Coturnix japonica: one gene and its partners. The protein of the gene in region 5 interacts with the protein of the main gene of each other region in a pairwise test. Links are inferred from orthologs where the notes say so. Each region holds a gene or a part of one and is shown on either strand. Other genes may lie near its edges. The genes, in order: CCNH, FAM161A, MRPL53, CARD9, SSX2IP, XIAP and TOP3B.

The links.
Region 1: the proteins of SSX2IP (region 5) and CCNH interact in binary tests that used the Homo sapiens proteins (3 or more experiments, as listed by UniProt). The link is inferred for Coturnix japonica from reciprocal best matches to the Homo sapiens genes SSX2IP and CCNH.
Region 2: the proteins of SSX2IP (region 5) and FAM161A interact in binary tests that used the Homo sapiens proteins (3 or more experiments, as listed by UniProt). The two-hybrid records come from large-scale screens. The link is inferred for Coturnix japonica from reciprocal best matches to the Homo sapiens genes SSX2IP and FAM161A.
Region 3: the proteins of SSX2IP (region 5) and MRPL53 interact in binary tests that used the Homo sapiens proteins (3 or more experiments, as listed by UniProt). The two-hybrid records come from large-scale screens. The link is inferred for Coturnix japonica from reciprocal best matches to the Homo sapiens genes SSX2IP and MRPL53.
Region 4: the proteins of SSX2IP (region 5) and CARD9 interact in binary tests that used the Homo sapiens proteins (3 or more experiments, as listed by UniProt). The two-hybrid records come from large-scale screens. The link is inferred for Coturnix japonica from reciprocal best matches to the Homo sapiens genes SSX2IP and CARD9.
Region 6: the proteins of SSX2IP (region 5) and XIAP interact in binary tests that used the Homo sapiens proteins (3 or more experiments, as listed by UniProt). The two-hybrid records come from large-scale screens. The link is inferred for Coturnix japonica from reciprocal best matches to the Homo sapiens genes SSX2IP and XIAP.
Region 7: the proteins of SSX2IP (region 5) and TOP3B interact in binary tests that used the Homo sapiens proteins (3 or more experiments, as listed by UniProt). The two-hybrid records come from large-scale screens. The link is inferred for Coturnix japonica from reciprocal best matches to the Homo sapiens genes SSX2IP and TOP3B.

Annotation. Positions count from the first base shown.
Region 1 is NC_029547.1:54,313,770-54,317,403, forward strand, and holds the end of CCNH (cyclin-H), read left to right. Parts: intron 1-560; coding exon 561-624; intron 625-2,165; coding exon 2,166-2,201; 3' UTR 2,202-2,957; downstream 2,958-3,634. UniProt on the Homo sapiens protein: Regulates CDK7, the catalytic subunit of the CDK-activating kinase (CAK) enzymatic complex. CAK activates the cyclin-associated kinases CDK1, CDK2, CDK4 and CDK6 by threonine phosphorylation.
Region 2 is NC_029518.1:13,366,819-13,371,341, forward strand, and holds the start of FAM161A (protein FAM161A), read left to right. Parts: upstream 1-1,678; 5' UTR 1,679-1,801; coding exon 1,802-2,086; intron 2,087-2,555; coding exon 2,556-2,812; intron 2,813-3,507; coding exon 3,508-4,523. Other genes in the region: CCT4 (T-complex protein 1 subunit delta), read left to right, coding at 1-86, 171-405, 922-1,035, 1,280-1,294. UniProt on the Homo sapiens protein: Involved in ciliogenesis.
Region 3 is NC_029517.1:109,901,344-109,905,720, reverse strand, and holds the start of MRPL53 (39S ribosomal protein L53, mitochondrial), read right to left. Parts: upstream 2,939-4,377; 5' UTR 2,895-2,938; coding exon 2,806-2,894; intron 2,379-2,805; coding exon 2,266-2,378; intron 584-2,265; coding exon 459-583; 3' UTR 1-458.
Region 4 is NC_029532.1:6,407,629-6,410,651, forward strand, and holds the end of CARD9 (caspase recruitment domain-containing protein 9), read left to right. Parts: intron 1-114; exon of another isoform or gene 115-380; coding exon 381-426; exon of another isoform or gene 427-1,564; coding exon 1,565-1,635; exon of another isoform or gene 1,636-2,111; coding exon 2,112-2,194; intron 2,195-2,299; exon of another isoform or gene 2,300-2,321; coding exon 2,322-2,418; 3' UTR 2,419-2,470; downstream 2,471-3,023. Other genes in the region: DNLZ (DNL-type zinc finger protein), read left to right, coding at 2,493-2,720, 2,786-2,925. UniProt on the Homo sapiens protein: Adapter protein that plays a key role in innate immune response against fungi by forming signaling complexes downstream of C-type lectin receptors.
Region 5 is NC_029523.1:14,419,790-14,423,628, forward strand, and holds part of SSX2IP (afadin- and alpha-actinin-binding protein), read left to right. Parts: intron 1-129; coding exon 130-205; intron 206-289; coding exon 290-461; intron 462-782; coding exon 783-933; intron 934-3,338; coding exon 3,339-3,475; intron 3,476-3,839. UniProt on the Homo sapiens protein: Belongs to an adhesion system, which plays a role in the organization of homotypic, interneuronal and heterotypic cell-cell adherens junctions (AJs).
Region 6 is NC_029519.1:14,642,405-14,646,957, forward strand, and holds the start of XIAP (E3 ubiquitin-protein ligase XIAP), read right to left. Parts: upstream 2,935-4,553; 5' UTR 2,827-2,934; intron 1-2,826.
Region 7 is NC_029530.1:348,840-352,678, reverse strand, and holds part of TOP3B (DNA topoisomerase 3-beta-1), read right to left. Parts: intron 2,741-3,839; coding exon 2,627-2,740; intron 1,715-2,626; coding exon 1,624-1,714; intron 1,320-1,623; coding exon 1,165-1,319; intron 929-1,164; coding exon 823-928; intron 304-822; coding exon 157-303; intron 1-156. UniProt on the Homo sapiens protein: Releases the supercoiling and torsional tension of DNA introduced during the DNA replication and transcription by transiently cleaving and rejoining one strand of the DNA duplex.

The DNA of each region.
Region 1 (3,634 bases), on a different chromosome or scaffold from region 5:
GGGGCAGCCGCCCCATAGAACCCCTGGCCCGAAAGGGAGGGGAAAAGGGGAATGGGAAAAGAAAACAGCAGCAGCAATCTAAGGAGGAAAACTTATTTTACTAAATACGATATCGGAGTACAAGATTACACAATATAATATAATATAATTGAGGCTAATAAATTGAACAAAACAGAGAGAGAGTCCCCAAAAACCGAGAGGCTTACTGTGAACTCTAGGTGACACAGCTGGAACGCTTCCCACTCTCTGAGAGAGAGAGAGCTCCAGCCTGGGAGTGAGATTATGTATGTCCTCCTCCCGTGACTTATCTCTGGCCATGAAATCCTCTGGGATACATAGTTCTCTTCTGAGAGCTGAGTATTTTGGACGTTGTTATTCTACGGAACTCGAGTATTAACCTTTTAATGATCCATACTGCACATGATGTTACGATGTGAAATACTGACAGCAACATTACAAAACCGTGACAAATTTGTTCATAAACTAATCTAAAATACTGTGGCCAGACCATTAGTCTGACTCAAAAAGTAACTGAAGCTTCTTGTTTTTTCCTGTTTGAGGCTTAGGAAGAAGAGGAAAATTAGTGAAGAAGATGAAAACTCCAAGAAGCCTAAACTGGATGAGGTCAGTTAATGTTCTGTACAAGTAATTACTTTTCTGCTCAGTAATAACTGACAAAACTGACACACTGTTGAGACAAACTCCTTCATCTCATTACAAAAGTTGCTCAGAATATTTTTCAAGTTAGTTTTAGCATCTAATGTAAATCTCCCTTCTTTATTTGTAAACCATTTCCACTTGTCCTATTGCTACCAGACCATTTAAAGTCTGTCTCCCTCATGATTATGAACTCATTTGAAGTACTGGAAAGCCATGATGAGATTTCTCCCGAGTCGTATTTTCTTAAGGCTTGGCATGCCTATCTCACTCAGCCTGTCTTCATGGGAGAGGTGCTCCAGCCTTTCCTGTGCTCAGGGCCCCAGGCCAGCACATGGCACTCCAGATGAGTAGGCCATTCCAGTGGCCTTCTGTGATGGGAGTGATGTCATGAATAGGTAAAGGGCAACTGATGTCTTCTACCTGCACTTCTGGAAAGTCTGATGTTGTCTCGTGGTGCATTCTTATTTCTAAATTGGAAAGATACAGATTTGGAAGGTGGACTGTTGGATGGATAAAGAATTTGTTGGGTACATTTGGATGTGAGGGACAGGATGTCTCAGGAGCAAAGGCAAGGAAACTATGCACTTAGAGTAGCACAGAGGGTGATGGGTTGTATTCACTGTACACATAGGCATCCATTTTAGATAATCCCTGTAAGCAGGAAGCAGAAACTCCCTAAGCAAGTGCACTCACTTTACTTTCTGACCCTTAAGAGATGGCAAGGGGCAGAAAGGAGAGAGAAGGAACGTGCTGATGGTAGATTCAATGGGTAGTGCCAGCAGGGTATCCCCTGCTTCAAGGTGCACTTCTCTCCTCCACTGCAGCTGCTCTCCTGCTTTTATTCTTCTCAGGGTTTTCTTTTTTCCACCTGCAGGCTGTGCCTGTGTGGCCAAGAGTGATACAGAGCACAGGTGGAATACAGAGCAGTTACAAGCAGGGCATGCAGGCTCTTGCTTTTTACACTTGCACAGCTAATAGTGGTGACTATGTTGAAAAATAGTGTTTTTTATCAGTATTTTCTCTGCCAAATAGCATTATTGTGCTCTTTGTATCTTTTGTATTTCCTTGGGAGTAAGTGGGAGGCATTGTTTTCATAGCGGCAGACGTACATTTGGTGTGGGACTTGAAGGAACTTGTATTTCTAGTTGGAGCTTGGTCTTACGTGTTAACTAAGAATGACAGTGCTTCTTGCTGGTTGTCAGGAGCAAGAAGGGCACTGTCAATCATTAATGTGTTTCTTTTCTACCCCTATATTTTGGAACAAATGCATTCCTCTCAAGTACATGAAGCACGTGTTTTGAAATCAGTTTAAGCTTACTGTGTAAGTCATTTACATGCAGTAGACACAGTGTGGAGATCAATGTGTTGGTTGTATTACTTGAACTCTCCTTAAGCAGCATATGTAAAAGATAATACTGCTACTATATGCAGTGCTGCCACATGCACAGTTCTGTATTGCTTGGTCACCTTACTGTAAAATGACAAGGTTGATTTCCTTCCCTTAGGAAGAATGGACTGATGAAGATGTTGTGGATTTGTGAAGCCTATTCCTGTGCTTACTGTTCTGTGGCACACTTGAACCTGCCTGTAGAAGATTCTGTAGGCTGAAGCATGAGGTATTTTTATATGGTTTTTAATTTCCTCAAAATAAAACATTTATTTGAAGGTTTAGTTGATTGTAGCTCAAGTTTTGGTTTAGCAGCGCCTTCAGATGCAACTTAAGAACAGGGTTACAGCACAGCAGTACATTATGTCCATTCTGGCGTTTAGCAAAGTGGTTAAATACAAGTGCAATGCAGATCTGCTAATAAATTCTGAAGTACTTGAGAGCAAGATCTGCTGCTGTGCTCTGCCCAGGCTTGTCACTGAAACTGCTACGAGAACATAACCTTGCTCATAACATCTCGTTGTGTTTGAGAAGCTCTTCCCAAGTGTACTAAGGGGCTGCAGGCAAATTACTTATCATACTAGAAGTTATGTTCATGGTTTTGTGACTTGTCTCCTGCTCTGTTTCCTCTTCCTGTAGCTTTGCTCTCAGACCAGCTTGCTGTGACAAACCCTGTTTGGGGCACCCTAGGAGAATAATTTAAAAGATCTTCCGGAGTAGTTAGTTACATTGTTTCTAAATTTAGGCGGAACTATTTCCTTTTAATATGTTGCTTCAGAACACGTGCAGCTCAGAATACATTGAGCTGAATGTAGCTCTGGGTTTTTCCTAGCTTTGTGTTCATCATAGTTTGTTTATTTTTTTTTTTTATTTTTTAAATTCATATAAACAGATGCAAATCTGTTCATCAGAGCTGTGTTGTGTTTTTTTTCTTTGTTAAGCTGCGTTATGCTGCTAATACCCAGCCAAGCACATTTAAAAGACTTCCCACTCAAGGCAGAATGATATTTCATTCTTTGGTAACAGTGCCAAAGCTGTTCTTCTTTCCTGACTGTGCAGCCTATCATAGCTTCACCTCAGAGGGCCTGACCATTAACACACTACCTAGCAACTAAAGGAAAAGTGATTTAACTGAAACACCTTTTATTGTGCCATCCTTACTATGTTCTGAGCTGGCTTGTACCCTGCTAGCAGAGCATTTAGAAAAAGGAAAAAGTTACAAACTGGTCCTGTGACTTCTGTGTTCTGATTAATCACCTTACTGCGTTACATAAGCAGGAAAGCCTAATAATGAAGGAAACTTATTTTAAGTAAGTTATTCCTTAACTTTTCCTCTGACATGCAATTTAAAATTTGGACTTGAGCAGACCAACAGACCAGCCAGGTATTTTATGGAAGGGGATCTAAAAAAAGAACTCTTTAATACCATATTCTTGCTAACAGATTGATATCATTATTAGTCTGTAGCAAGAGTGTGCTTTTATCTCTGCCTTTTACTTCTACCTATAGTGTATATCCACACAATCACTAAGGTTGGAAAAGATCTCTAAGATCATCTGGTCCCAGTTACGCATTTCTGAACTACAG
Region 2 (4,523 bases), on a different chromosome or scaffold from region 5:
CGTGGATCTAACAAACTTGTTCTAGAAGAAGCCGAGCGTTCCATTCACGATGCCCTGTGTGTCATTAGATGCTTAGTTAAGAAAAGGTAACGTATCCATTTGGCCAGAATAATTTTGTATATTCACGTGGAAAACTCTTTACGAAGTTTGACTTCAATTTCTGTCCCCAGAGCTTTAATTGCAGGAGGTGGAGCACCAGAGATAGAGCTGGCCCTGCGCCTCAATGAGTACGCCCGCACTTTGAAGGGCATGGACTCGTACTGCGTGCGTGCCTACGGGGATGCACTGGAAGTCATACCATCTACACTGGCTGAAAACGCAGGTCTCAATCCTATCTCAACAGTAACAGAGCTGAGGAACAGGCATGCTCAAGGAGAGAAAACAGCCGGCATTAATGTCAGAAAGGTAATGAAGAAGTTGTACATAGAACTCTGTAGCTTAAATAAATAGGCTGTTAAAAGGAAGATGTACTACCTGAAATCTGAAATACAGAGAACAAAATTCTTGCTAAAGTTAGGAACTTACCCTGAGTACTGCTAATGGCAGGTTCTCATTCTACATCCATGGCGTTCTGGTACCTTCACATTTCTCTTCAAAAACAGTTTTCCAGCTGGAGTCACAGTGAACTTAAAGCAGGCAGGTGTGGTTAGAAGGGTTGGGGGTAGTACATGCAGTACTGCTGGGACAGCGTCTTGTTTGAACTGCTAACAGCTATGGCTGGTTTTTCTCTTGGCTCACTTTGAGTGGATACATCAGATACTCAGCAGCAGCCCTTTACAGTAATATTCCTGTTGAGAACTGAAGCGTGCAAGCTAATTGATAGTCTAACTCAGCACAGCATCACTTCTGGGATCCTATTAGAAGGTGTTAAACGTGGTTGTAGGCTCACGTGCACAAAGTGATGGTGCCTTCCTCTTGCAGGGTGGCATTTCCAACATCCTGGAGGAGCTGGTGGTGCAGCCGCTGCTCGTGTCTGTGAGCGCCCTGACTCTGGCAACAGAAACTGTGCGCAGCATTCTTAAGATTGACGATGTGGTGAGTAGCGTTTGTATCACGTTCTTGTTGATAAATGCCAGAATAGGTGGAAACACAGATGATACTATCAGCTGTTTCTACCATTTGGTCATCTAAAAACAGGGCACGGGAGAATTAAACTGCTATTGGCATAAGCAGGGTACCTTAAAGCAAGATGTTGCAGTGACTGTAACAATACATAAGCAAAGAAGTCATTGTTACTGTATTGTGTGGACCTCTCACATGTGCTGTTGTGCTTTTGCAGGTGAACACTCGATAAGCTGGATAAAGGAAGCTGGGACTGTGCTCTGCAGCTCCTCAGATGGTCTGAGCTGCAGCTTCCTCACCAGAAGCGCCTGTGTGAATTGTCTTAAAAGTCCACGAATGCTTATATGTACTTTTCTCATGTTAATTTAATACATTTCCTGGTTTCGGAAAGGAAATGCTGTTTATCAATAAACAGGCACCAGTCTACTTGAGTCTTTGCTTGATGATTTCACTAGAAAGGAGGTCGACTTCACTAGTTTGAATTAAATTAGCATTTACATTAGCGTTCCACATCATTGCAGCTCACATAGCATAGTTAGCTGATCCAGGCTTTGCTTCCCATTACAAGGTGTTCCCCATTTGGGCTGTGGCCCGGCCATCCCATGGTGCTAACAGGGCTCAGTGCTCAATGATTCCACCTCCAAGAGGTAGAAGACCATTCCTGACCTTAGTTTACCCGTACTCACTAATAATCCCCCATTTGTCTGGAGCTCAAACCTCTTAGAACGGGAGGTGACCAATGAGCGGAACCAGCCGCGCCCCCTCACACAGCCCCAGACGCCCCGTGCCCTGCAGCCGGCTGCGGTACCGGGCCCTGCGGTACCGGGCCCTGCGGTACCGGGCCCTGCGGTACCGGGCCCTGCGGCCCCGCCTCTCCCGTCCCGACACGTCCCCGCCCCTGCACGCAGCCATGGAGGCTCCGCACAGCGCGGAGCCGCCCGCCGCCTGCCCCCGTGCTCCCCTGGAGCCGCACAGCCGGGCGCCCGCTGCCCACAACCCACGGGATCCGCAGCACAGCGCGCAGGTAACGGAGGGAGCGGCGGGGCCGGGCCGGGCTCGGTGGGACGCGGAGCAGATGGGCCGCAGAGCTGTAAGGAGCTTAGGAGGAGCAGCGGAGGGCTTCGCTTTACAGCGGCTATGGAAACGGGCGGGGGAGGTGCCGGTTAAGGCTGTCTTAGAGCTGTGTTCTAAGCAAGAAAAGGACTTTTCCCTTCCAAAAGATCCTTCTGGATCTATTTCCCGATACAAGGATAAGGGCTCACAGGGACAGACTTCGTTATTTAACTTCCCATAAACGGCAGTCTCAAGCCATAAGGCACTGCAGGAAGACTGTTCCATGCAGCGTGTGTTAAAGTCTGTGCATAGGTAAGAGGTATGAAATTCGGCGGTAGCATTTCATTCATGAGACAATAAAATGAAGCAGCGCTATAAACCTCATTCCTCTTCCCTCTGAACCACAAAGCCTGACACAGAAATGCCTCCTCTATCCCTAGGGGGAGCTGGGCACAGAGCCGGGCCCTGGCAGCGAGCAGCCCATCGCCCCGGGCACAGGCTGTGACACACAGACAGAGCTCTCCAAGCTGGGCACCTCGAACCAGGAATATTACCTGAAGCTGGAGGAGCTGAAGAATGCCCACATGGAGACCATGGCTAAATTAGAAAGCATGTATCGGAACAAGCTGTATCTACAAGGAGTGAAGCTTTTGGAGAGGAACAACACTAACAGTGCAACTTCCTATGTCTGCTGTAGGTAAGTTCTGTGGTACCTTTGGAGGACCTTTGCAGGCTGCAGTACATGGGGCAGGTATGTGCTGCGGCTGGGAACTGCTGCTCTCCCCCTTTCCTGTAAAGGGATAATTACAGCGAGGTCAGCTTCAGTTCTTACAATGCTTATTCACTTTGCTAGCAGGCTGTCACACTCACAAGTATGCCCACAGCAGAATCTGTGCAATGCATTTAATAAAGCACAGTGCCTTGTTACCCTTTTCCCTTCCCTCTCTCACCCTCTGTGCAGTTATACAGTCAATAAGTAAACAGAGATTAAACAGATGTTTCGTATCATGATAGAAAGATAATCTATGATGATGGGAAACGCTCACCAGTGTTGAAGGTTTGCAGTAAACTCCACACAGGAACAATCTCCAGACAAAGAGATCCTGCCTTAGTGGTGGTCAGCCCTTAAATGGGATCTGGGAGAGGTGCAGCCAGGCTCAACTCCTTCTGGTAGCACAGATGAATTACCTTCACCTGTGCTCCCCCAGCTGACTCATTGCTTGCCTCAGGTGGTCAATCAGAGGTTCAGGCTGTGATCAGCAGTTTGCTATATACCCTGCAAGTGCTTTTCATCTTTCTCCCTCTAGTGAGGGCACTGAAAACAGTTTACTGCCTTCAAATCAATGCTGGAATGGATTCAAACCAACTTCTCTTTTTCCCCTCTGTTTAAAGGCCAACCTGGGAGAAGAGCACGTATCAGCCTCTAAGTCTGCCCAGATCCTTCTCTGACTCCAGCATTAGCGATCCCTTTGGCTCAGGTGTGTCTGGTGAGTCCAACAGAGAACTGCCATCTGAAGACAGCTGCAGTGAAACCGGATCATTGTTATTTGCTAAGGAGAGGATTGCAAGGATGTGGGACGGCTTCTCGGTGGATGACTACCTTCCCCCCAGGAAGCACAGCCTGCCCAGAGCCCCGGCTGCCAGGACAAGACAGAAGCAGAAGGCATGGTCACCAAAAGTCACGGTGCCCAAGCCTTTCCAGATGACAATTAGAGAAGCCAGAAGAAAAGAACAGAATGTCAAATCCAAGTCACAGATTGAGATAGAAAATAACCTACTGAAGAAGCAGCTGGAGGAAGAAGCAGAGTGTCAGAAAAAGTTCCGAGCCACTCCAGTGCCCGCTGCCGTCTTCCTGCCCCTCTACCGTGAGATCGTGCAAAGGAATGAGGAGCGCAGGAAGACTGTGAAGGAGAGGAGCAAACTCAAGCTCTTGGCTTCTCAGAAGCCGTTTAAGTTCATTGAAAGAGAGAAGCAAAGGGATGAAATCAGAAAAATGCAATTGAGAGACCTCTCTACACCTGAAAGGCAAACAAAACCATTCAAAGCAAAGCCAGTTCCCAGGTGCGTTTATAGCCCGTCTGTTAGAGACAAGCTGCAGGAGGAAGAGCTCTACAGAGAAATCCGGATTAGAATGAGAGCTGAGGAGCTGCTGCGAAATGCATCTGTGCCCACCAGCAGGCTGGCTTCCAAGGATGCCAACAAGAAGAAACACAAGTGTGCTGAACCAAAGGAAACGGAGCGCCAACCCAAGGTCCAACACAGCGTTCCAGATTTTGACCGGCTACACCAGAAGTTTCAGAAACGGCTCCGGCAGCAGCAGCAGGTGAAACACCTCACGGTGTGCGAGCCGTTCCATCTCCGCACTCCGTACATTCCCTCAAACAAGGGGAAGGTCTTGAGAGACATTC
Region 3 (4,377 bases), on a different chromosome or scaffold from region 5:
AATGGCAAGGTCTTAGCAACAGACATAGTATAAATTGTACAGCCAATGTCCTTGCAAATACAGTCTCTGTGTTTGGAGGCTGCTGTTTCTCAGCTACATTAAATGTGTTGGAAATAACATCTAGAGAGACCTATCTTCACTTTAGCATTTATTAATTTAATAACCAATGTGCAGTATTCATATTTATATGCAAATACATGTGACATTAGTCCAACATGCAGATAACAGACACTGCTGCATTCGTGTATCTTAAGCCATTCCAGTCCACTGCTGTCACACTATTTGTTGATCTACTGTGTTTTCCTTTTGGGGAAGACGGTGAAGAACTTCAACAGTTGATTCTGCTCTGCATTAAACTGGTCAGTTTTTGGCCATCTCTCTCAGAATTTGTTGCATTGGAGAAAACCTCTCTTTGCAGCCTCCTGTTTTAACAAATGGCAACACAGTTGTTCTGTTCTTCAGGGATTCTTCTTGCTTTTCTGTTCTGCCTTAAGCTCCTTTGCATTACATCTGGAACCCAGTGCTGTTAACATTTCAACTGTTGTCAGGTTGGCTCCTTTCATTATCAATCGCTCTCCATCAGCTGGAAAGAAAACATTTATAAGTTCTTAAAATTTAAGTCACAGTTACTTTTGTGTGCAGTTCTGGCTTGCATTTACAAATCCAAATACCCTGCTCATCTTGTCTGATTAGAAAGGAGTCCACTTAACAAGAAATCCTATTATGGAACAAACAAATACATGAAACTGTAACAAATACATGAAACTGTAACTATTGTAATCTTCATTTCTGTACTGTCTGATCAAAAAATAAGAAATGTTTCTCAAGATATATGTATGGTAAAAGCATATTGTTGATAAGAATGGCTCACACTATGCCACCAAAGTCAGTGAACAGAAGGCACAAAAGGCACTGGTAGGCATAATTTCCACACATGGCCCAGCATTTTAGCAGCATGTTGTATATGGCCCATTTACTTCACTTCTTTAGCCAAAACAGTGAAACGGTTTATACAATCTGGTGGTTATAAAATTAAAAAGTAGACAACACTTGGATTTGTAAATTCCTGGGGAGGAAAAAAAAAAAAAGGCACTTTAAAACAGAGAGGGAGCATCAGAAATTAAGGATAGTACCTAAGTTATTTTTTTATCTTTGCAAGACTTGCAAATATAAAAGATATAGTCAAACCCATTTAATGCAGTACCATTCGTGGCATCCATGTTCCAGTCACATTTGCCAATTGGAAGGGCTGCAGACTCTTCCGTTGGAAAATAATCAGCTCTTAGAAAGTGGAGTTCAGAGCTGTAGCTCTTGGCATTAGTGAAATAAATTGTTTTGCTTTACACTGTGAAAAACACTAAGCTTTACTGCGTAAGTCTTAATACATCACAGATAGAGTCAAGGATTGGAAAAAAAGCGGCTTGAGGGAGGGAGAAACCTCTGTCAGCGCTGAAGTAATTTGGCTTTGCTTGGCAAAACAAGTACATTCAGCACTCTCAACACTTCTACTGATTCACTAAATATCAGAAAGCTTAAAGAAAAGTGGGTAACAGGAAAAAATATAATGAAAACTTTAATAGGCTACATGCCATACTGGGCCATTACAGCACAGCAGGAAAGAAGATACAGCCCGAGAAAAAGACAAAATCAGATTACAGCCATCTGTTCATAGCCTTGAATCTGGGCTGCTTCCAGAACTGATGACATTTCCACTATCAATTCCCTGTCTACTCGCTGGATCTCCAAAGGAAACCAAGTAATTTGCTGTACATCAGTTGACCTCACTCTGTATGTCCGTCTGCACATGTATGGTCTTATATGAGCAGTTCCTTCCAGCTACGCAGCAAGTTACTCACTTGCATAAAGAACTCCAAGTGTTAAACTTGTCTATTCTTAAGACAGATGTCTCCACCACAGAAAACAAGACAACACAGAACAAAAATTCAGTATGTGTGTATACAGATGTGTAAAACATCAAAGCAAAGCTACACTTGTTTTCCTGGAACTGACTTTGACTGCAAGGTTATACAAGTGTCCCACTGCTAAAGTGGACTCAACTCTATATGAGTTAGGTTTGGTAAAGACTTGTACATGTACATGTTAGTGTTAGTGACTTCCTTTTTCCTTCCCAGCTTGGCAACATCCAGGTGTAGAAGAGAATTAAAAAAAGAATAAATTAATCACAGCAAAAATGATCATAGAGGAGACACTGTGAAACCACAAACGTGGAAGGACTTTTTGTGAGGATTAAAAATGAACTCTTACCAAACATAACATCTACAAGTGGTTCAGATCCATCATGTCTCACATCTGCAGACACTTCACAGTTCCTGTTAGTAGCTTGGATTCTTTTATGGTTTATACATTGAAGAAATTTCCTGAAAATGTATTTTAAAACACACTGAGTGCTCCACAGATAAAAATTACAGTTAATACATGAGAGATGCATCCAAAACGTATAGTTTTAGTATATAGTATAGTTTTTGAATAGTTTGACATTGCTGGGTATAAACAGAATTGGATTTATATTCAATAATTTCAGACACTCACTTCTTACCAGGCAGCAATCCAATTACTGTCTGGATCTACAGAGCTACACAACACAAACACATCCTCCCCAGTATAGACAAGACAGTGATCTCCTGGGACAGTCCAGTGGAGAGCATGAAGGTGATTAAAGGGCCTGGAGTACCTCGGGTCGGGTCGGAAGGGACCTTAAAGGTCGTGTGGATCCACCCCCCTCATATCGGCGGTAGCACCGAGTCCCGCGCAGCCCCAGGGCCGGGACACGCCGCTGCCCCTCACCTGGTGCTCTCCACGTTGGAATCGAAGGGGCAGAAGCGGACTACGATACTCTTCACGGGCCGCAGCACCACATGGATCCGGGACGCCATCTTCTTCCCGTCGCAGTACTACGAGTCCCGGCAGCCCCGCACAGAGGCGGGTCAGCGATGGCGGCCATGTTCCCGGAGCCGCCTGGGAAATGGAGTCTGCAGTAACAGCCATGTTGTCAGCTGCCAAACAGCGTTTGGTTTTACGTTTTCCAGATAGCAGCTGGCTGTCCTCATCCCTAACGTGAGGAGATGGCTTGCTGAGCAAGTCTGCATATGGCTGTTTTCATGTTAATTCTGTCCCTGTCTGATTTGGATGTGGTTCAGAAGTACTCTAGTTTATTCAGTATGAATAATGAAGGCAGGCTGAGGGAGCTGGGCTTGTTCAGCCTGGAGAAGAGAAGGCTGCGAGGAGAGCTCAGTACACCCTTCCAGTACCTAAAGGGATCCTAAAAACCGAAGGGAAGTTAACTCTTTACAAGGGTAGATAACAGTAAAACAAGGGGAAAAGGTTTTAAGTTGAAGGAGGAAGGATCTAAGTTGAATATCAGGGGAAGTTCTTTACTATGAGAGTGGTGAGGTGCTGGCACAGGCTGCCCAGAGAGGCTGTGGATGCCCCATCCCTGGAGGTGTTCAAGTCCAGGTTGGATGGGGCCCTGGTCTAGTATTAAATGTGGAGGTTGGTGGACCTGCCTGTGGCAGAGGGGTTGGAGCTTCATGATCCTTGGGGGCCCTTCCAACCCAAGCCATTCTACAACTCACTGATGACTGAAATAAATGAGGATATGAGTGAAGGTAAGTATAAGGGGAAATGAGGATTTGAGTGGAATTGAGAGGAATGAGGATTTTAGCAGGACACGGGGAAATGGTTTTAAGTTAAAAGAGGGAAGATTTAGGTTGGATGTTAGGGGGAAGTTCTTCACTAGGAGAGTGGTTAGGCCCTGGAACAGGCTGCCCAGGGAGGTTGTGGATGCCCCGTCCTTGGAGGTGTTCAAGACCAGGTTGGACGGGGCCCTGGGCAACCTGATCTAGTAAAGGTGTATGTTTGGTGGCCCTGCCAGGCAGGGGGGTTGGAACTACATGATCCTTGAGGTCCCTTCCAACCCAGGTCATTCTGTGATTCTGTGTGATTTTGAGTGAGGTTAGTTATAAGGGGTAGCCAGTATGACCAAGGATCATTTAGAGGCAGCATTTTTCAGTGCATCAATCCGAACAGAGGCTTGCTGCAAAAGGCGACGATACTGGAAGGGAACGCATTTGATAAGATGGGCTGGGTTCAGCAGTTGCATGCCCAACCCTTGAACAAAGGTTTCGATCTTGGTGTGGCTTCTGCAAGCAATGTATTTTTCCGCTAGATGGCAGAAACCTCCTTGATAAATGATTACAACGGTCTGGTACTTTGTTCAGCTCAGCACTATGGAGAGCTTAGTGAGGATTAGGGATAGGATGGAAGGAACACAGTAATAATGGCATTTGAGCACGATGAGAATTTGTATTTAGTATGTTTCCAATGTTCATTAAACATCTGGCATCCTTTGTAAAGGGT
Region 4 (3,023 bases), on a different chromosome or scaffold from region 5:
CCAAGCAGACCAGAAGATTCAAATTATTTTGCATTGCTTCTAATCTCTCTCTTATGAGAGAATGTGCAAAAATAAGTATTATCCTGAGAACATGCGTAGAAAAGAGGGTTTTGGTTTTTTCCAGCTTAGTTCATAACTGTGGTAGGGGTTGTCACATTGTCTGGAGACAAAATGAATGAGCCCATAGTCATGGAGGATAAGTCTGTGTGTAGATACACAGCTTCTAGTTCAGAATGTTTCCTGTTTTGCTTACAGCAAGATGCAGTGGGGGAAGGTCGGTTATATGCCTGTGTCCTGTGTTCCTGCATTTGTTCCTAGCTATTGTCTGAGAAAGAATATGGAGTACTTCTCATGATCTTAATTTGTTTGTGTCCCAATAGCTTACTCTTCATGCTCACCTAGATGAAGATACACACCTGACTGAAAGTAAGGTTTCTACTGGGGAAAACATACAGCATGGTTCTTGATGGGGTTTCCCAGTGTTCAGAGGGACAGGAACAGACACTTTTAGTGCAGAAGAGGAATCCACTGACTGAGGGTTTGGTCATTTGGGTGAAATAGGAGCAGGGTATGAGAGTTCGTGGAATTAAATGAGACATTTGAGCACTGCCTTCTGAATTGGGCCAGCCAAAATCACCTGGTACACAATGCCTTCAAAAAGCAGCTCCTGGATGCCTCTTCTTCACACAGTCCTCTCGTGTTTGTGGCTGAGCTGAGAATGGAACAAGCATCCTTCCACTCCAGCTCAACCACATGTCTTTCCCCAGAGACATTTCTTTCCTCTCTCTTATGTTGCAGGCTATTTTCACAAAAGCAGAACCATGTAATTAACACTGTCCCTGGTTCAGTTCTTGTGGCAGCCCCAGTGGAAATGATTCAGCAGCACAGAGAAGAGCAAACAGGGTCCTTTAAAGCTTGAGATTCTCCTTTGAAACATGTTCCAAAAGGAAGGAATCAAGCAGAGATCCTCACCTGAAAGAATTAAGCAATCATTCTCTGAGATGGGAGACTTTTCACAGCAGCTGCCACACTGAAACAAAGCCTTTTCTTACCCTACCTCAGCCAAATCAGAATGACATATCACAGTATCTGATCACTGCATTAGGAGTTGAGCTAAAATACGATCTGTTGAGTATCTGAATGTGCACATCTTCCCTGTGGCCCAACACCAACAAACTGTGATTCATGTTTAGTGGGATTTCTTCTTGTTATCTCCATCATTATTCTTTCAGTGACATTAGGCAGAGGTGCTGCTCTGCACTGGTTCATTTTGCTTCTCCACAAGCAGAAATTAGACAGATGGTGTCTGGTGATCCTATGGGGAATTCCATCCAGTCTAAACAAGACTCAGAGGTCACGCAGAATGAGCAGGGTCTTGTGCAATGGTCACAAGATTGAATACTGAATGTTTCAAGGCCTGGGTTTGGCTTGCTGTGGATGCTGTATACTGCTGGGCAGCTCTTACATGACAGCTATTGCCGTGTGATGAACTGGTGGAAGGAGAAGTTACTTCAACATGGCAGCTGTGACTGAGATTGTGATTTGCTTTTCTGTTTTCTCTCAGAAGAATGCTGCAAAGGCGAAAACCAGCAGTTCAGCAATGGAGAAAGCAATCTGCCTGCAGAGTTGCCCACTGTAAGAGCCCACAATGATTCTCTTTGGTCTGAATGGGGTTTGTAATTACTCATGTGCTTGTTAACAATGGATTTATCACAGAATGACCAGGGTTGGAAGGGACCTCAAGGATCACGTAGTTCCAACCCCCCTGCCTAGCAGGGCCACCAAACACACACATTTACTAGATTTAGCAGGCTTCAGGCCCAAGCAGATGCAATGCAGGCTCTACACACATCCCAGGGGCTGGGCTATGGTAGCAACCAGCTCTTCTTAATCATTTTAAGGCACAAGTTTCCATTTTCTCCTCTTAATTTCTTGGAAATAGATTCAGGGCTGCAAACAAACCCAAGATGGGCTCATCATGTAGAGCACCTCAGCCTTGAAGGGCTCCATCTTTACACAGCAGCCGTGTCTAGTGTGATAATAACATTGATCCAAGGCTTTAGAGCAACTTGCTTTGAGGTTTAGAGCAACTTTGCCTTGTTCCATTCCAGTTCGAGGAGTGCAGCTCTGCCCACGAGGAGCTGTCTGAGAAGGAGAGGAGGAGGATGAAGGATTGCTTTGAGCGTTACCGCAGGTCGGGCCCCATTTCCATCCCATTCCCATCCCATTTCCATCCTATTTCCACCCCGTTCCCGTCCCGTTCCCGTCCCTATCCCACACTCGGTTCCATAGGCCTCACTTCCATTCGGTCCCGTTACCAGGAAGCGCGCCCTCCGCAGAGCCCCCGCAGGCCGCCGCCATGAAGCCGACTGGGAGCCCAGCACCGGCAGCGACAACACGGACACGGAGGGCAGCTAGAGCTGGGCCGAACGTCCCGTTACCGGCCCCGTCAATAAACACTGAGCGCTCACAGCGGTGCCGTTACCGTCGGGATGGGGGAGGCGGCCTATGTGGGGCCGACCGCGCAGCCTCAGCGCCGCCTCTTGTGCGCCTGCGCGGCCGCCATGTTGAGGCGCTTGGTGCGGGTGGCAGCGCGGGCCGCGCTCGGCTCCTCAGCGCCTCCACAGCGGCGGCCATTGCCCCGCAGTGTGTGCACCGCACCGCCGGGCAGCGTGGGGCGGCTGCAGCCATCGCATTACCGCCTGGTGTACACCTGCAAGGTGCGGGGATGGGGAGGGGAGCGTCTCCGACGGTCGGTGTTGTGTTGCTAACCCGTGCCTTGCAGGTGTGCCGGCGCCGCTCGGCTCAGAACATCTCCCGCTTGGCCTACAGCCGAGGAGTCGTCATCGTTACGTGCCCAGGGTGTCACAACCATCATATAATCGCTGATAACCTGGGCTGGTTCTCCGACCTGCAGGGCAAGAGGTGCGTGTGTGTGTGGGGGGTGTGTCACATCATCGGCACATCGCCCTTTAAATACGAGGTTTTGCAGTAGCTGTCAAAGCATTCTTACTCCCAGGAGG
Region 5 (3,839 bases):
TTAAGAGTGAGGGGGATATTTGGGTAACGCGGTCTTCTGTCAGTAAATACATAAAAAGGTAAAAGAAGTGTCATCTGAATATGTAATTGCACATTGTTTCATGCTTTGAAATCTCCTTTTCATTTGTAGCTATGGAAGTTCTAAATTATGTTGGTAGAGCTGATGGGAAGAGAGGTGCGTGGAGGACTGATAAGACAGAAGCCAGGTGAAACTGTAGTTGCTTTAGAACAACATTAATTAAACTCTTTGTTATGTTGTCACCTTGTTACTGTCACATTTCTGCTTTCAGAAATGAAGAACAAATGTACAAAGTTCTGCTAAGTGACTATGAGCAACGCCAAAAGCAGCTTTTATTGGAAAATGCTGAGCTGAAAAAAGTTCTTCAGCAAATGAAGAAAGAGATTATTTCACTTCTTCCACCACAGAAACAAAAACCTAAAGAAAGGTCTGAAGATGGGCCAGTAAGTATTCTTTGGTTAAGCTTAAGTCTGTGATAGTTTGCAGTGCTGGAGCAATCTGATTAAAATACTTCCTGGAAGGCTTGCAGTGGAAGGACCTGAAAAAATCTTTTCATTATTTTTGTAATAGTAAAAAAAAAAAAAAAAGTAAAACCTATATGTATATATAGGTTTATATATATATATATTATATATTATATTATATACACACACACATATATAAGTTTTACTTTTCTTTGGTCAAACAAATCTACGTATGTATTTAAATGTGTATTTTTTGAACGTTAAGATTGCTTGCACCAGGCTTTGTTTCTATTTCTATAGGTACTTTCAGACTTGGAGGAGGACATTGGAGAGTTAAATAAAGAGAATATGTGGGAACTGTCATGTGAAACTGTGCGAGAGCAGCTTACCAACAGCATTAGAAAACAATGGAGAATGTTGAAAAATCACGTTGAAAGGCTGGATAACCAAGGTGGTGTTTAACTCATATGCGTACATGTAAAATGCTCCTGACTGTTTGGTGTCATGCTCTTTGGATTTACATTACTGTATGTCTTAACTAAGTGGAAGCTAAAATGCAAGGGATTGTGACCTGATAGACTCCCTGAAAAGGCTTGTGATTGTCATTTTCTACATGAGTTTAAATTGTGGGAAGTTAGGAAAGCTATTGCCTAGCAAGTCTGTTATCCTGAGAACAGACACAATTGTAGTTTGACAGAGTAAACAGCTTTCTTCAGAAATAATTTATTTTTCTTTTGGAGACACGTGCACTGTAATATGCAGGTCACTCCAAAAGTAATGCCTTCTGTTTATTTTCATGAGAACTGTAGCAGATACAAAGAGCACAATAGTACTATTGAATAGACTAAATTCTGAACTGCATAATACTGTTCTGTTCTTTTCTCGACGTAGTCACCATTAATTAGCTATGTGCTTTTGCCAGTAGTTAACAGGAGCCTACATGTCATGCTTGCAAAAAACTACAGAAAATCTTCATTAGTGGAGGTGACATGCTGTTATCACTGCTGAAACAGACCACGCACCATCTTGCTTTGCTCACATCCACTGTGTTTGGCCTCCATAAACATTCAGCAAGCTGTTTTTTTCATTGACACACCTTTGCTTCATATGCATTTCCATGTCAGATGCCATTACTGCCCTTCTGCTGCCATCTGTCACATGGCAATGAAATGTAACAGAATGCTGGTGAGAAGGTTCGACCTCTGCCACCATTGTCTGCCTCTGATGTTGTGGGCCAACTTAAGCAGGAAGCATTATTTTCAGAGCAGCCCTTGTAAATGTTGGTTGTATTTCCCCGTTTCTCTGAGCTGTTCAAGTAATGCAGATACTCAGTTTCTTTCAACTTGGGATATGTGATACACAGATCCTTCTTAAAGTTTGAGCTCGTTACATCCATATCTCTAGTGCTTCTGCTGGCATTCTAAAATGAACTAGTTGATGGTATGGTGCTGGACTCTCCTCATTTCCAGCTGTTAAACAGCATTAAAAGACAGCTAAAAATATATAAAATTCTTTCCTAGTATTATTTTCCAATGTAAGCAAATGCTGCTGCTACAGCAAGGATGTTTGCAGTCAGGAATAAGAGTGAGAAGGTCATGAATGTAGTTGCAAATAAAAGAGCAGGTGGTCTCTGGTATAGACATATTCTTACAGAAAGGATTTTAAGATCACTTATTCTGAGTAATATTTGACTCAGTGTACTGACAAAAAATAATTGTAAGCATCAGGAAAAAAAGATTCGAGTATTTGCAGTCTTCTTGGAGTTACTTTTTATTTACTTTTTCTTTTTTTTCTTTTTGAGTTTATAGAGACAACCATGTTCTGATCTGTTAGCATTTGCTTAGTGTTTAAACACTGTCAGCAGGGGATCCAGACTTGGCATATTACAAATGCTGGGATGGTTGTATCTTTGTACAACCACACATTACATTATTTCATCTCACGCACATTTTATTCCTCTCTGATTCATTCCCTTTCTGAGTTAAAAATGTGCACACAGTGTTCCAACTGTTAGCTCTGTTTCTCCTTCATAGAACACGAGGGAAAAAATCTTTCCGTTTTTATCTATGGTATATATAGTTACTGCCATACTCTTATGAACACATAGACCCTTCAATAGTGGGCTCAGAATAGGCTAACCATGCATCAGTGAAAAGAAATCTTCACTTGTTATTTTCTTTTAAATAACTGCTGAAACAAGTTGTGGTGGTTATTTTTGGTGGTGGTGTTTTTGTTTGGTTGTTTGTTTGTTGTTTTTTTTTTTTGGGCAACACTGTTGCGGCACAGATTTGTGATTTACCTGAATAAATGTTGCAGCATTTGAGGCACGGACTCAGATGTGAACGATCCAAATCGTTTATTACAAGTTCTCACATCCCTTATATTACCTTCACAAGTTATTTTTCTAACTTTCCCGTCTGCCCTTACAACTTTCCCAACCACCTTTACATGTCAACAAAGCATTCTACAAAACACTTTTCAACTGTCCATGCAGGCACGTATCCAATCAGAGCTGTGAGACCCTTCTTCTCCTTGCAGAGGTGTCCTTGGTTCTCATGCTGTTTATCTTGCTCCACAGCTGCTGCTCTGAACAGCTTTTCTTGTATTCCCACAAAATGTGAAATCTGAGGTGACGTTGTAATGTTCAGCTCAGGATAAATGGCAGTAGCTCTTAATTACGAGTGTAGTACCAATTCTGGATTGCTTGTCGTGATAATAGGAATTTTGAGTGCATGATGAATGTGTCTTTTGGAATTAAACTATTACAGTTTAACAATCTTTGTTATTGCTTTGAGTTTTAAGTGTTGTGATGTATTGTTTTTAAGTAACCTTTTTCCCTTTTTTCTTCTCCCTTAGTGTCACGTGTGCATTCAGGAGCCTTGAATGATAAAGATGTAATTTCAAGGGAAGACCATGAGCTGGAAACTGAAAAACTAGAGTTAGAAATTCAGCAATGTAAAGAAATGATCAAAACTCAGCAGCAGCTTTTACAGGTAGCAGGCTTTTTGTTATTTTCAAGACCAAATCTGTGAATTATTATTTTTTTTTAATGTCACTTATCACTCACTTCTGAGTTTTTCTCCTTTTTTTTTTCTTTTTTTTTTTTTTTTTTTGACAGTGCTTTTTAAATAGGATATCTCTGTGGTTGGTTTAAGTGATCTGTTCAGTTGATTAGTAATGTAATGAGTTTGTAATCCTGGTAGGAAAATTTCTGGGGGTTAATTGACATGAGGACGGTTGATAAGGCCAGCTGCATGAACAGAGGTGATTTGCTGGCTGCTTGAAACTCTGCCCCTACCACCTGTGTTTTTTGCTTATTAAACTTCAACTGTTTTTTTGATGAAATTGAATCTGTGG
Region 6 (4,553 bases), on a different chromosome or scaffold from region 5:
GCCCTGCACACAGCAGGTAGGTTTAAACCAGATGATCGTTGTTGCCTCCAAATGCACTTAGACAAGCTGCAGTCCTTTACAAAGCACCTATCCTAACAGCTCAGATAGAAACAGATATATGTACCTAAGCTACAACAAAGCAACTTCAATAAACTGAGAAGCAAGCTATACAGATCCAACCCTCCACAGAGTTAAAACAGGGGAACAAAGTATCCATCAAAAGTATCAATCAGTGACTATAAAGTGTATCACTGCAGGAATACAACGGAGTTACTGCTCTTCTTGGTTAGGAAGAAAAAAAAAAGGCAGTCAATGGGAATATGTGAACAAAATGGGCAGTGATAAAAAACACCTGGCAAAACCTGCAGTGACCATGGATACTCCTCCCTTCTCAAGTATGAGCTGTGCTCCAGCTTGCAGCATCACATGCTTTTACTGTTCAGCTAGAAAACATTTATGCCTATAGATGAGTGAAAAGACAGAAAGAGACAAGCTCTCTTCAAGGGGACATAATGAGACTGGACTCCAGTTGCAGTAAAGTGATTAATGCCACAGCAAAACTGCCAGATCCTTGCGATTATAAAGGAAGAAACTGCAGCAGCAGGGCAGCACAGGGAGCCCATGACCTCTGCCCAGCTGGGCTGCTCACACAGCAAATCCATCTGGGCTAAATGGCACCTCAGCCCAGTATCACTAGCATGAATGCTTTGTCATTCATCGATGGGCTGAAATCATACACACCCAAATTGGTGTGCATACACACAGCTGTGTGCTTGGAATCTCTTGAATTATCCTCTATACTTGAAGTTTTTTATCAAGTTGGGATGACTCGAGGACTAATTCTAACACAAAAGTGAAACGTGAAAATTGCACCTGCAGACAGCACTCAGCACCAAATGCTGCCTTACTGTTTAATAAGAAAACGTTCAGAACACAGAAGGGGAAGGACAGCAAACTTCAAGACCAGCTTCATTTTACGTTCTATATTACATAAGTGACATTGCTCACTGAGGATGGCTTCTCAATTCCAACATTGATTAGATTCCACTAAGCAAGCTTTAAAATAGAACCTGCACTCTAGTAAAGAAGATTTTGGATAGTCATCAAGTCCAAAATTAACATGGGAAGCACCCAGGTTCTCTGGTAACAATTTTCAGTTGTGCACACAGTATTACAGTTTCCATTTCTAAAATAGGAAACGTTCCTAAAACTAGATGTGCAAAATCTCTCCTTATGAAATCAATTGCTGTCCCTTCTTCGTCTACTCAAAGACACAGCAACGTATAAGGGGGTCAAATATCTTATTGCTGGTATCCACCCGATAACTAACCAAGCATAGAAAAGGCAAAAAGTAAAACATTCTGTGATACAGTCTGAGCTGTTAAGAAGCAGCACCAATTAAAACAATAGCATTTCTAGTCCTGAAGGACAACCCAAATCAGGCTGTGCAACACGCCTTCTTCCACTTTCACATACCTTCAGCCTATCTGCACAACTAAAATTTTCTTCCCCTTAGGTTCAGAAATCTATTTCTAGAGCCTGGCTTCCTATAGTTGTGTTCAGAGCCTTTTGAATAGAACATCTCATGATGGACCTCTTGCTATGAAAAATAAGCTGCAAGAGACTACATCCATTAACTCCTGATGGAAAATAAGAATGAAAGGGTATCTACAATGGCTTTCCCCTTGGTATCCTGCCACCAACCAAGGTTAGCAGCAGATTAACTAAAGCAGATACAAGTTTCATGTGTTCTGGCACCAATCTTTAGGCAATAAACAAACAAATAAATAAATACATCCTTTCCTTCACAGGGAGCTCTTCATTGACTTATGAACTGGATATTCTGCAACACTTCAACTCCCTTTGGCTGCCTCGCCCAGCCTGGCAGTACAGCAACAGGTGCACCATCACTATCGTGGGCACACAGAAGCCTGCAACAAAATCCACCTTCACATTCCAAAGGCTTTGATAGGAACACGCATTTTCTAACTGTTCTGATAACAGAAGCAAGTCTGCCTCGTATCACTTGAAGCAGAAAAAAACCCCACCACACCCACATCAGAGTTCTTTCACTTTTGCTGCTGGTTACAAGGAGCAAGGTCAGAGGAAGCACAGAGCTGTCATTAACTCATTTCTTTGCCCTTCTTGGCCAACAGCGTGGGTGCCCAACTTCCAAAAGGACTGAATCACTCGTGTGTCCTCTTATGGGTCCTAAATAAAACTACAGGACAGCAAAAGGAAGCACTTAAGGAAACAAAAAAAATATATCAAAATATAGACTTATTCAACAAAACTTTTCATCCCCAGATGAAAACTTGCTTTCTTAAAGTTCATCTTACGCAGTTATTTCAAGAGACGAGGTGAATAATTCAGTGTATATTTAACTGCATCAAGCTATTAGTTAAGAAAGGATTTGGAAGCATCCATCAGCAAAATGTTTTTTTTCTTTTGGTGTAAGTGAAGCAAACACCACCACACCTCATCCCTAACGTAACACACAGCACAGCTCCAGTGCGGGCAGCAGCACAGGAGGAAGAGCTGAACGACTCTGCTCCATCCGAACACTGTCCTACACACGAGATCACAACTCCAGGCAGCAGACACTTCAGTGGATACCACAAAGCCCAGGCTGTGAAACCACGAGCGGACACCTCTGCAGCGGAGGGGGCGCGCCCGTTCCTGTGGCAACGCCTCCCGGCTCGGCGACCCTCGAGCACATGGGGCGGGTGGGCCCCGAGCAGAACCAGGGCTGGAAAGGAGCGGCCCTACCCCGCGCGGGGAGTCCGCCCGCCGACCCGAGTGCGCCGCGCCCGCCTGACAACTCACCGCGCCGCGTATCCTCCTCACCGGCCCCGGCTGCGGGAATCGCTCCGGCTGAGAAAATGGCGGCTCCCGGCAGCCTCTCGGCTCCGCACCGCTCGGCAGCAGCGCCCCACACAGGGCCGGGGGAGCGCGGCAGTGCGGGGCCCGCTGTCAGACGGCGGCACCCAGTGGCGGCGGGCGGGCAGCGCATCACCCCTCAGCGGCTGCTGGTCTTCCTGCCCGCTCCTCGTGGAGTGGAGCGGCCGAAGAGCCCCCAACCCGCTCGCCAGCACTTCCCGCTGGGTACCGGCCAGGCGTGGTGCTCAAGGGCCGCTGAAAGATGGTGTGAGGGAGTGGTTGTTCCCCACAGAATCCATGGTCTGCACAAAGGCCACCGTGAGAAGTCATCCGCCACAGAATCACAGAATGACCCGGGTTGGAAGGGACCTCAAGGATCATGTAGTTCCAACCCCCTGCCTGGCAGGGCCACCAAACATACACATTTACTAGATCAGGTTGCCCAGGGCCCCGTCCAACCTGGCCTTGAACACCTCCAAGGACGGGGCATCCACAACCTCCCTGGCAGCACACATCCGCCATGTGCTGCTCTCTGAGGTACCCCCTGAAGATGAGAGCTGCCAGCAACGCCGCTTGCTAACTTGGCGCAGAACTTGTCTTCTTGCCTTTATTCCTCCCTCCTCTCATGAGAACAACGAGTTTTTCCAGTCCCGAGTCAGCAATGTGTGGGCTGACATCTCTGCAGGTTGGCATTTCACCTGATCTGAAACCTCCAGTGTATCTGTACAGAGTCAAAACAAAGTCGTTTCTAAATGAGAAAACTGGCTGTACTGAAAATGCAGACTATCGTTCTGGATCACATGACAGAAATATTATTTAAGAATTTAAACCCAAGATGATAATTGTACTGATTTCAATATCCCGAGAAATAGCTGTGTTTCGCTAGTAAAGATTCCTATCAGTCCACACTCAGTTCACACCATAGCAAAGCACAGTTATTTACTTAAAGATCTCAGACGTATTATGACACGGTGAGAGGTTAGCACCTTAACAGAGCAGGATGAATGTGAATATTTAATCTTATAAATCCTCACCATCCCACATTACTAATGCATTCATTAGCAATGATTTTAACAAATGCCATCGCTTTGTTGAGGTTTTGATGCTTTTCCAAACGAGGCAAATCATTTTTTTTAATACCACAAGGTGTTTTTACAGTGACCCTCTTCTGGGTTTTGATGTCTAAATCAAACATCCTGATCAAACAAAACCCAAAACTTCTAGACCCAACACACAGAGCAACCAAAACATAAGAAAACATCACAAACAAGAAAAATGATGACAATAAGAAGAGTAATGCTTATAAAATGTTTTACCTTCTACACAAGCCAGTTCTTGTTCTTCTGTTCAACCAATTTAAAGTTCAGTTTAACATAAAATTCTGAATCAGTAAGTTGTACTGCAAGCCAAAACTAACGACATCTTTGGTGACTCAACAGTAAAATGAATTGTATTACTTTGAAGCACCTTTCACTATAGGCAGAGTTCTGGTAATTGAGCCAAAGGAGGTAATTAAACTTCGAGCAGAAAATCACAGGCAATATCTTTGTCAAGTTGAACTCAATGTAGAGAAATATTCCTGCTTGCTGTATTTATTCTTTCCTTTAAATTAAGCAAACTTGCTAGAATTGGTTGATTACTCTGTATTTATAAGCAAAACAAAACAGACTTTG
Region 7 (3,839 bases), on a different chromosome or scaffold from region 5:
AGACCAAGATTCAGTCCTTGTCATCTTAATAAGCTCCAGGAAAAAAGAAGTCTTAAATTCTACTTGCCTCCAAAACTTCACTTTTATATCTATTTAATGCATGAGTGGGTAAAATAATAAACGGTGCCTAACTACTTACTCCCTGGTTAGTTTTACCTGGTGAAGTTACCACTTTCCCAACGCAGTTAAAACGTTCAGGGCCAATGCTGACAGAAATGTTGGTTTGTAGGTACTTGCAATCAGCGCTCACAGTGGCAATGAAATGCCTAGTGATGTACTCATACAGCCGCCATCCATCTCCACCTGAGGATAAACAATATCTTACTCCCACAAATCAAGTCCTGCAGCACTACATAAAATTTGCGCTAAAAGATATCAGATTTCCACAGAAACCACAGGGAAAACTGGTACCTAAGAGAAAATAGGATTGAAAAGTCCATCCAGCTTCCCCTTCAAAATTTCCTACCCATAAAATCATACTTGTTAGAATCCTGTGCTACATTAACTTCAACTTTTTCTTTTTAAATATGCTATCAATCGGGCTGCCTGACAAACTAGCACAGAACAGACAAGAGCTACACACAGTTTCCTTAATCACAACATATAGCTAGGAAATCAAATAGCAGAGAGGTTATAATACTATAAACAGAAACTTAGCTCCTAAGTATCAGTCTTGTGCTTTGCATATTTCATCCTATTGTGTACAAAGAAGTTTTACATAGCCATTCAGTAAGCTGTATGGCTACTCAAAGTCTTAACATGCTTCTTTATCAGAGAACCAATTTCCTCACAGTGTTCTAACACTATTCAGTTTGTCTGTACCTAATTCTGCTTCTGTTGCAGCTTTCATTGGAGTGATGGGTGGATGGTCACCTGCATCGTGGCCTTTCCTTGGACGATTGATGCCTTCTGATAGCAATGCTTTTACCTGGGTCAAGGAAAAGAGAGAAAACGGGTTGAAGTGGATAGCAGGTCTCTACTATCAGGTTAGAAGTTGTTTTTTTTTTTAAGATCAAATCCATAACTACAATATCTGTAAGTAAAAGCAATTACAGATACTTGTTGTTTGCAGAGACCTACAGATCAAGACATACCAGGTAAGATGTTCTAAAAACACAGACTAGAGAACCACCTGTAGAACAGTACAGGTTTTGATTTACTCACCGTTTCTGCCCAGTAAGGATTATTAGCTTGTTGTCTCAAGCATCCTTTCAAGTCAAAGTTTTCTGGATAATGGGTAGTTTCTGTTCGAGGGTAGCTAATATAACCCTGTGTATAAAGACGCTCTGCTATTTGCATGGCGTGTTGCGGACCCATTCCTGGGATGGCACAGGAGAGAACAAAATCATACAGCAATCTGTAGATGCCTTTGGTTGCTGAGTCTTAAAGCACACCTTGTCAAAACATTTAAGCTAATTACAAATTACAACTTGTCCTTTCTATAAGACTTTTGCCACCTTGATCTGACCCAGTACTTTTGACATGCTTTCTAAACTTGCTTCCCAAAAGTGATACACTGTAGGGAGACTTATTAAAATATTACATATGGGCTTGATTATTTCAGCTGAGAATCCAAAGTATTTTGCTCTAAATCAGTGTGAAAATCTAAACTTTTACACGTACCTAAAGCAGCACTGGCCACTCGTAGCATTTCTACCGTGTTCAGAGCCAGTGGTCTCTGCTTCACCTTCTCTTTTTTACTCACAGATTCTACCTAGAAAATAGCATTTTTCCAGTAAAAGTTTTGAAGTTTGGTAACTGATAAATGTAAAATGTCTATTATGACTAAAACCATGTGGTATTCCTACCAGGACCTGCTTTCGTCACATCTGTGTTTTGATATTTTTCCGTAGAAAAGTAACCGTCAGATCTGGTGGAAATCTGATGGGAAACAGCTTTACCAAATGCTGAAGGAATAGCCCCAGGGTCCCTTCACATTATGGACTAGATCAGACCTACCACTGGACATGAAGGGATGTAGCTTACTGCTACCTTCACTTCCCATTTAGCTCTGCAGCACATACATCAGTGCTACAAGGGAGTAGTGCTCAACCCAAGTAACGGTCCTAGATATAAGGATCTCAACTTTTTAAAACACCGTGTAGCCTCTGAACGTTGGTAGCTGTAAACACTTAAATCCCAACACAGTGTCAGACAAGCATTGAACAGAACAGCAGGTTAGTTGGCTATAAGGACTGTACCGTACAAAGTTAAAAACTTAACTGCAGGAATGTTGTTCTATAAGTAAATAGATTTCGATCTATGCAGTGTCCTGTGGGAAACAAGAGGTCTGCTTGGGGAGTTCTGAACTGTGCTTCTCAGCAAGTTCAGCAATGAAGACTGTTAATTCCTATCGTGAATGATGACCATTTCCAAAGTCAATATTAAGAATGGGCTTCTGTTGAGATGACCATACTAATGTAACACAAACTACAAGCAAGAATCTTTTGCCTTTTACTTATCATTTACACAAAGTTGAATGAAATAAAAAAAGATAAGGATTATATTTCTTAACCTTCTTCGCCAAAAGAAGGCTCAAAAAAACCAATATACAGTAGATGAACTATTGAGTAGTATTTCCTTTATGTGAAATAAGCTCTACCAACACCTAAGTAAATAGTTCTACCTTTGCTTCTTTTGCAGCCTTTGTTATATTTAGGAACATCTGAGCGATCTCACGATCAAATACCCGCACTCTGTCCCAACTCAAAGTGAGAGAACTTTCCTTTTCAGGGTTCACCTGATGGATCAAAAACAAACAACAACAAATTAATTCCCACCAGCACTATTACTAAAAGTGCAGAATGCACTTCAGCAATAATCCAGCAAGTAAACCTTAGTAGTAGTTGTTTTACAAGTGCTCCAAGCATGCAGCTGTACTCATTTTCCAGTGGCTTCTGAGAAAGAGTAATTTGAGTTCTGGGGCAAGGAGAATGACTGAAATTATTCTTGCAGTTAACTGAAATACTGTGCTTATTTTAAATACTTGGAATAACAAAGGCAAAATGGGCCGAAATTCAAAGTTTAACATTTTCACTTAGCAAAATTCATTAATTCTTTGCATTAAAAATAAAATGTACGTGGGCCACAATCCAAGTCCCTCCTACAAAAGTAAATATGAACTAATCAATGTGTGTGCATGAAACACCCTGAAAACAGGAACCAAATGCTTCCTAGCATGACACATATAAAGGAGATATAGCAGAAAACAGATAAGAGTAGACACTGGATTTCAACTTTTTTTTCTTTTTAAATTTTAAAATCTAAAAATAGCAACTTTTTACCATCTATCTCCTATTTATTTACACAATCCTTGTCATCACAAACAGTAAAACCATGTTGGTTAGCGCTCCAAGTTGGAACAGCAGCAAGGCTATAAAACTGCCATAAACTGCCAAAGCATTCAGAAGACTCAGTGCCAACACAGTGAACATTTTATTTGCTTCAGAATTCCAATACTCAGCAATGCCAATGCTCACTGGCAGACAAATTAATTCTTGGATTCAAATTAACACCACAGTTGGTCCAAGGACCCCAGGGAACAATAACAGGCCATTTTAAGTAGTCTTTCTGGCTCAGTCTAAGCTTAGATGGTTACCACTAAAGAATTTTTACAAGCAGCACACAATAACCGCTTGAACACAGAACCGACATCCTCAAATCTATTAAGAGAGTGGTGACACACATGTGAACTGAATGAAAATAGACGAGTAAACTGTAGGCACTGTGAATTCTTGTCAGCAGCTACAAATTCATGAATGGACAAAATGAAAGTGTTAAGTCCGTTTCTTACTATATAAGAAGGAAAACATGTTTTAATCAAACAAATAACACATAAC